2 linked regions of the Mus musculus genome follow. The protein of the gene in region 1 purifies or fractionates together with the protein of each later gene. This does not show direct contact. Links are inferred from orthologs where the notes say so. Each region holds a gene or a part of one and is shown on either strand. Other genes may lie near its edges.

Evidence for each region. The genes of interacting proteins can lie anywhere in the genome.
Region 2: the proteins of Tubgcp2 (region 1) and Lgals3bp purify together in Homo sapiens (affinity purification with mass spectrometry; 3 studies listed by BioGRID and IntAct, counting the BioPlex papers as one, with this or other methods). This does not show direct contact. The link is inferred for Mus musculus from reciprocal best matches to the Homo sapiens genes TUBGCP2 and LGALS3BP.

What each region holds. Positions count from the first base shown.
Region 1 is NC_000073.6:140,002,171-140,005,681, forward strand, and holds part of Tubgcp2 (gamma-tubulin complex component 2), read right to left. Parts: intron 3,281-3,511; coding exon 3,100-3,280; intron 2,810-3,099; coding exon 2,629-2,809; intron 1-2,628. UniProt on the Homo sapiens protein: Component of the gamma-tubulin ring complex (gTuRC) which mediates microtubule nucleation.
Region 2 is NC_000077.6:118,399,150-118,403,447, forward strand, and holds the start of Lgals3bp (galectin-3-binding protein precursor), read right to left. Parts: upstream 2,811-4,298; 5' UTR 2,637-2,810; intron 653-2,636; 5' UTR 631-652; coding exon 579-630; intron 1-578.

The DNA.
Region 1 (3,511 bases):
TGTATGTATGTATGTATGTATGTATGTAAAATGTATATATCTGGTGCCTGTGGAGGTAAGAAGAGAGCATTAGATACTGGAATTCAAGACACAAGCTACTCAAGTTGGGAGCTGAGAACCAAACTTAGGTCCTCTGCAAAAGCAGCGAACACTCCTGTGCTGGCTGATTTGTCAAACGGATACAAACTAGAGTCATTTGGAAAAGGAGAATCTCAAGAAAATGTCTTTAATTTGCCTACCGACAGGTCCGTGATGCATTTTCTTAATTAGTGATTGATATGGGGTTACCCAGGCTAATGTGAGTGATAACACCCTTGGGCTGCTGGTCTTAGGTTTTATAAGAAAGCAGGCTGAGCAAGCCATGAGGTCCAAGGTGGTGAGCAGCATCCCTCTGTGTCCTGCCTCCTGACCTGTGTGAGCTCCGGCCCTCAGCGATGGAGTGTGATGTAGAACTGTAGGCTGAAATGAACCCATCCCAAGATGCTTTTGGTCATGGTGTTTATCACAGCAATAGAAACCCAAGATAACTTTGAATGACTAACCCTTCTTTCTGGCCCTTAAAATAACATTTTAAATGTTTCTGTTGTTATTATGAGTGAGGAACCATAGGAGTGAAGACCTTTTATTTTACCTGTGAAGTTGACACATACTTGGTGAGATTCATGACAGTGATTATTATGGACAAACAGTACTGTCTACAACATTAACTATTAAATACTTATTAAAGCCAACCACATGCCAGTTTGCTAAGGGTTCCTATAAGACTTAAATATATGTCCACAAAGACAAAAATATAAAAGACAGGAAAAAAAACAAAGCATAAAGAATCAATGAGGAAAAGCACAAACAGCTCCTGAACAAAGCAAGCGCTCACCATCTCCTAACAGTCATGGGCACGTAGACCACTCTCATCCTGCTTGTCAACGTAACACAGATGGGGACATCAGGTGCGCAGACATGACTCTCATTTGCCCCACAGCCAGCACCTTGTATGTTCTGCCTGGATGATCAGGCCACAGACTGCCACTAGGAATAATAAACCCTACAAAATTACTCCTACACTTAATAAGAGATCCAGAAATACATGAAATGAAGAACAGAACTGCAAAGAAAACGAAGATCTACAAGAACAGTGGGGCCTCAGCCTTACTCTCAGTAATAGATGGAAGCTGCGTGCACAGCACTAAGAACCATCCAAGACCTGTCGAGCACAGGAAGAACCCATGTAGAATCCCAGGACCATCATGATATGTTATAAAACTTATACTAAGGGCTGGAGAGATGGCTCAGCAGTTAAGAGCACTGACTGCTCTTCAGAAGGCCCTGAGTTCAAATCCCAACAACCACATGGTGGCTCACAACCATCCATAATGAGATCTGACTCCCTCTTCTGGTGCGTCTGAAGACAGCTACAGTGTACTTATTTATAATAATAAATAAATCTTTGGGTCAGAGCGAGCGAGGCCTGAGCGAGCAGAGGTCCTGAGTTCAATTCCTAGCAACCACATGATGCTCACAAACCATCTGTACAGCTACAATGCACTCATATACATAAAATAAATAAATAAATCTTAAAGAAAAGCATACAAAACAGTGAAGTTAGAAAACTAAGTAACAGTGTTGGAGATCTGCTCTTCCAGGGAGCCCGGGTTCAGATCCACATCCACATCCACAGTGGCCACACAGCATCCACAGTGGCCCACAACTGCCTGTAACTCCAGTTCCCACGGACCCACGCCCTCCTCTGTCCTCCACAGGCACTGCACACATACATGTGTAGGCAAGACATATAAAATAAAGAAAATTTAAAAACAAAAACAAAAAAACCCTAAGCAACAGAAGACAATCCTGAACATTTATAACTAAATGGAAACAAATCACTAAAGAAGAAGAAAGAAGAAATCATAGAATCAGTTGAGCCACCATGTAGTTGTTGGGAATTGAACTCAGGACCTCTCGAAGAGCAGCCGGTGCTCTTAACCACTGAGCCATCTCTCCAGCTCTCATTGAATCTCTTGAAACAAAAGAAAATAAAGCATGCTAAAATAGCCTAACTTTAAAATTCAAGAAACTATGAACAGAAATTAAGTTCAAAGCTAACAGAAACAACAGGTTGATAGAAACACAGAAGAAAAAGGAAGAAATAAATATAAGGAAGAAAGTAATAAAACCAAGATCGAGGTCTTAGAAACATCAGGGGAACTAGCAAGCTTTCAGATACATGAGGGAGAAAAGAAGACAAACCACTGAACTCAGAGATGAAGGGGGCTCTTCCTGCCAGCCTTAGAAGTCCGAACAGCTCTCTGCACTGCACGGCAGCAGACACACACCCTGCTGATGGCAACGCCAGGGTAAACGCGGGAAACATCACAGCCCGCATGAAACGGAGCGCTCATGCAGTATCCCCACCTACGCTCCGTCGGCCTATTGACACCGGCATGGACCAAACTCACAGGAAAAGTACAAAGCGGTGCCTCCTGTGAGTCCAGACACAAACCCCTAAACAAAATGCTCGTAAGCCAGTGTTCTCTGACATAGGAAGAACGCCTGGTAGGACACCCTGACTGGGCCTGCTGTGCTCTTCCCATGCTGCAGAAGCGAGGTGCCATGATGGTAAACACTGCTCACCTTGAGGTCGTCTTTGAAGGGGTCAGTGTTGGCAGTGCTCATTCGCAGGGCCAGCTCCAACAGGGCCTCCAGGCGTGTGAGTATGATGTCCTCCACTGGCTTCCTGAGCTCCTCCTCAGTCAGGTCCATGAAATGCACGAAGAAGTCCCCCTGGTCCATCAGGAAGTAGCGCTTGATGGACCTGTGTCAGGGTTGGTGAACATATAGCCTGACCCTGCCTCCACCATACATCATACAGAGGTTTGGCAGCTCTCAGACAGACATGGGGCTGCTCTGCTCAGGCATGGCAGAGGAGGGACTGACAGCAAGGAGCTGAGAGACCTGTTGGCTTGTACGGTCTGAGAACTAGAGAACTGAGGAGACCCTGCCACCTCACACTGAGGCTGCAGAGAGCCTGTGGAGAGATAAAAAATGTAGTTGCTAAGAAGAGCATTCTACTTTCAGCCCCATGGATACAAAGTGAAGTCCAACCTCAGGTGGGCCACCAGCTCCTTCTCCTCCATGAGGAAGTCCAGCAGCACTTTGCTGGCATAATTGAACGCTTTCTCTATCTGCTCCACATATGCCCGCTCTTTAAGGGTATAGATGATTTCTTTGGCTACGGGACAGGTGACATCATGACCACACTCTCTGACCACATTTAGGTATTTTCCTGAAAAAAAGGAAGGTGGGTTTAGTATGTACATGCTGAGTCTCAGGCCTGAACCTTTATGATGCCAACCAAACATGAGGTAGTAGGCCAGACATGACGCATAATTTGCTTCCTAAAAAAGACTGTGCAATAGTTCTTTAGGTCTGTTATAGGAAGGATTTTGCAAAGCCTTGAGATCTAGATTGCTAAATAATCCCCCAGCCCTTTCTGATTCTGTTCAGGTTTCAGAGC
Region 2 (4,298 bases), on another chromosome or scaffold:
CAGTTCCCACCTCACCCCTACAGTGGTTGCCTAAAGCGGACAATCCTGGACTGGAGACAGTCTGCACTGTGGCACAGGCAGCCAGGACAGTCCTGCTCTCCTTTCTCTGGAACTCCCGTCTCTGCCCATGCTCACAGGGCCAGCTGGGCGCTTGAATTGGGGTCACCCATACTAGAGAGGGATACTCAGCTGACGGTCCAGGATGGACAAGGCTCTCAGACCCACAGTGCAGTGTGTGAACTGCCCCCCCCCCCCAGGGACTCTCTGCCACCCTAACCTGTGCCCTGAGACACCCCCCCACACACACTCCAGGACAGCACGGGCTGTGCTCTCCCTCCTTGGCCCACTGATGAGATGAGAAAAAATTTCTTGGCCTCTTCTTCAATACCTGCATTTCACTTGGGTGCGGGGGAGCACCAGGGGCCATACGCCACCACCATTTAGAATGACAGAGGAGCCACATGGGAGAGAATCCTGAGACATGGCTCCTTGCAGGTTGCCATGCAGCTTTTCTGCAAGGCAGAGGGGGACAACCCACAGAACAAGGCGTTTGGGACCTTTCGTGGGGCAGGACTCACCTTGAGTCCCTGGAACCAGCAAGAACACAGAGAGGAGCCACAGGAGAGCCATTGCCTGGCCTAGAAGCCCAACCCTGCAGCAGAAAGAACAACAAAGTTAGACTGGCAACAGCTCTCCAAAGGAGACTGGCAGTTCCATGGCTCCCTGTCCTATTTGTAGAGGATGGGATGGTGTTGTGGGTGGTACTCTTGTGTAAGGCCCAGATGGCTATGTGATGGCTCTCATGCAGGCCTCTCTCACATGCTCTGCAGGACAACCTTCAGGTCAGCAAGAGTCCCCAGATGAGGCAAGTGGCTTGAGGGCTCCTGGCAACGAGAACCCAGGAAGCAAACAAGAGCTCTTTATCTTTAGCTGGCCTTATCTGTAAGTAGTAGCTAGCTGCCTTTGGGGTGTGCAGGGGACAAGATTTGCCAGTCTGTGAGGACATTGTAGATGAGGTTGGAACTCTCAAGGGGAAGTGACAGAGGCAGTGTAGAAGGGTCTGGGACTTCATGATGTGACCTGGGGATGTGGGTCAGGGTCAACCACCACGGTGCTGACACACAGGACTCAATACTTAGACTCTTGCCTGTATGTAGGATGTGCCCCACCCAGGCATTGTCCCTCAGGCCCTGCAAGGAGCGGGGCAACCCACAGAACAAAATGCAGCAGCCTCAATGGACTCTGGACTCGTTCTAGGCCCAGCAGGCAGCTTGGGACTGGTAGTGGATGGTGCTACAGAGCTCTGTCTCCTGGGCAGGAACTGGAAGCCACAAATTGTTACTCCGACCAGGGGCCCAGAGACAAGCAGTAGAGATATTTCAGGTCCAGTAGAAGCACCAGGATTGGCCCCTCCCCAGCCCTCTCCCACCGACCAACCCCCACCCCAGACATTCTGCACCAGAGCAGCACGAGCAAGCCCTCAGGGGGCCAGGGCACTTGTAGCCATCTTGGCAGGGGTGAAGAGATCCTAGGATAGGCTTTGGCTATCCGACTGCGGAAGCAACAGCAGAACTGGAACTCCCCGGGAGTCTCACGCTGAAAGGAGAAGGCTGTTGCCTGGTGATAGCCAGAGAGGAAGCCTGTCTCCAGGAAATAACAGCTCACTCTGGGATTTACAGCCCAGGCAAGCCAGTTAGCTATGTATACCTCTATGTAAACCTCATGTTAATATCCCCTAATAGACTCTGGGCCATTAATGGGGGAGGCCACTGGATTCCTCTTAGTGTGGCCACATTAAATAAATCTCCTTTTTCGGCTTTTCACTGTTATGTTTTTAATTGGACCATGGAGGATGGGTGGCTGAGTCTGGCTATCAGGGGAGCTTTCTGGGCATAAGCTCTGACCGTTGAGTCCTATAACACACTGATGGGTGGGACTTGGCCCTTAGTTCTGTGCACCCCACCCCCACCCCCCAACTGGTTCCCACCAGACTTCTGCATCTAGTCAAGCACAGACCCAGAACAATATACAACTCACAAAGTTCCCACATCCCTAATGAGAGCCGAAGCTAGAGAGCCAACTGACTCCAGATGACACAGCCAGTGAGCACAGGTTAGGGTCTGCCCAGGGGTGGCCTCCTTCTACCACAAGGACCCTGGTGGAGGTGGAGGGAGCCAGAGAGTCCCACATCCGTGTGGCAAGGCATTACCCCAGTTTTATCCCAAGAAGGCCTGGGCTCTGGGAAACCTGAGTCCCAGGCAAACTGCACTGGGTGCCCACTCCCTGCATTTACTATAAACTGTGGTCGTAGGTTTGTCCATGCTGGGTCAGGCGCTCTAGGCCTTGGGAACATTGCAGTGTATGTGGATGTTGCTGTCCACTGGATGACAGAGGCTGTTTCTGCCCTACTCCTTTGTGTGGGAAGATGGGACAAGCCTGCCTATGCTGGCTCATTCAGTACCACTGAGTAGGTAGGTTTAGTCCTGGGAGAGAATCTACAGACCCAGGAGGGGGCCGGGGATAAACTCTAACCCACTCACCCCTTCAGCTGTTCATTCAGTGGACATCCTGCCCAACTGTATTGGCTCCTGTGCTCTGGCCTGCCAGAAATCATGCTGTGTAGAGTGGAGACTCACCTGGGAGCAAGAGAGGGACTCAACTGTCCCTCAGGCAGCGAGGCAGTGGCTGAAGGCAGTCCTGGAGCCTCCTTCCTGGCTGCAACTGGAAGCCTTCTGTAGACTGTTCAGCAGAGAAAAGCTCCACCATGTGGCTTTCCTCAGCCTCGTCCCAGGAAATGCTTTGTAAACCTCACCTAGTTTCGATTTTCAGAAAACACATGACAGAGGCTGCTTCTGGGGTTGGCTGTCAGCAAGGCTAATAGCCTTCTGCTTGCTGCTCTGTGGGGCAGAGGGCAGGCACCCAAGCGCCCTGTGCTGAGCTGATATACTGAGCTGATGAAACAAATATAAGTCCAGGCTAGCCAGGCAGGCACCCTGTGGGGCAGCTTGGGGGATGGTTGGAGCAAATACATCTCCAGGCTGGCCAGGCAGGCATCCTGGCGAAGGAGAGTGGAAAGATACAGAAAGAGGGCCTAGGAGCAGCAGCTCGGGTCAGACCGTGTCTGTGAATGTGGATGTGGGCTGGACTATCCTTTCCTGGACCTGGGAATGCTGGCTGCCCTTAGCTTATGCACAAACCTACCATGCGCAGAGCGAAGGTATGTGGGCCACAGAGTGGTCCTGAGAGACAAGAATAGCGATATAAAGGCTAAAAGCAGAAAGCAGGGCTGGGGGCTAGAGTGGCTTGGTGGTTAAGAGCACCACCTGCTCTTATGGGAGGCCTGAGTTCAACTCCCAGCACCCATGTTGGTTGGCTCAGAATAGCCTGTAACTGGCTTCAGGGGCTCAGACTCTGTAGGCACCCACACCCAAGTGTGCTCATGCATGCACACATATAATTTTAAAAATTAAATCTTAAAAGGTTTCTACAATACCTTTTTTTTTAAAGTAGGGCTAATTGGGCATGGTGGAACACACCTTTAGCTGGAAGGCAGAGGCAGGTGGATCTTTGTGAGTTAGAAACTAGTCTGGTTTACATAGTGAGTCCTAGGTTAGTCAGGGCTACACAGAGAAAGCCTGCCTCAAAGGAAAAAAACAAAAACAGAAACAAAACCGAAACAAAATCCTAAAACAACAACAACAACAACAAAACTACCACCACCAAAACTGCTTCAGCGGGTAAAGGGACTTGCAGTAACCAATCCTGATGCTATGAATTTGACCCCTGGGACTCACTGTAAGAGAAAACTGACTCCTGTACGCTGTCTTGATCTACACAAGTGTACCGTGGCATGTATGTACATGCATGTAGACACACACAGTAAATAAATGTAAAAATATATATATATAATTCAAAGAGGCCTAGGGAGATGGCTCAGTAGTTATGAACACGTGCTGCTCTTGCAAAGGACCCAGGTTCCATTTGAAACACCCACATGGCTGTTCACAGTCACCCATAATGCCATTTCTAAAGGATATAATGCCCTCTCCTGATTTCCATGGTCACCAGGCACACACGTGGTACACATACATGCATGCAGACAAAAGTTCCAAACATGTAAGATACACTAAAATTACAAAGGCAAATTTCCCCAGACTTATGATGTTTAGACAGTGGCCTAATTCCCAGCAGCTCCCTGCAGCTCCCCTGGCACCAGCACTGTAAGGTTTCCTACCTCAAGACACCCAACTGTCCTCTTGAACACTATTCAAAAGGTCTGACACAAATGGCCCAGGAGG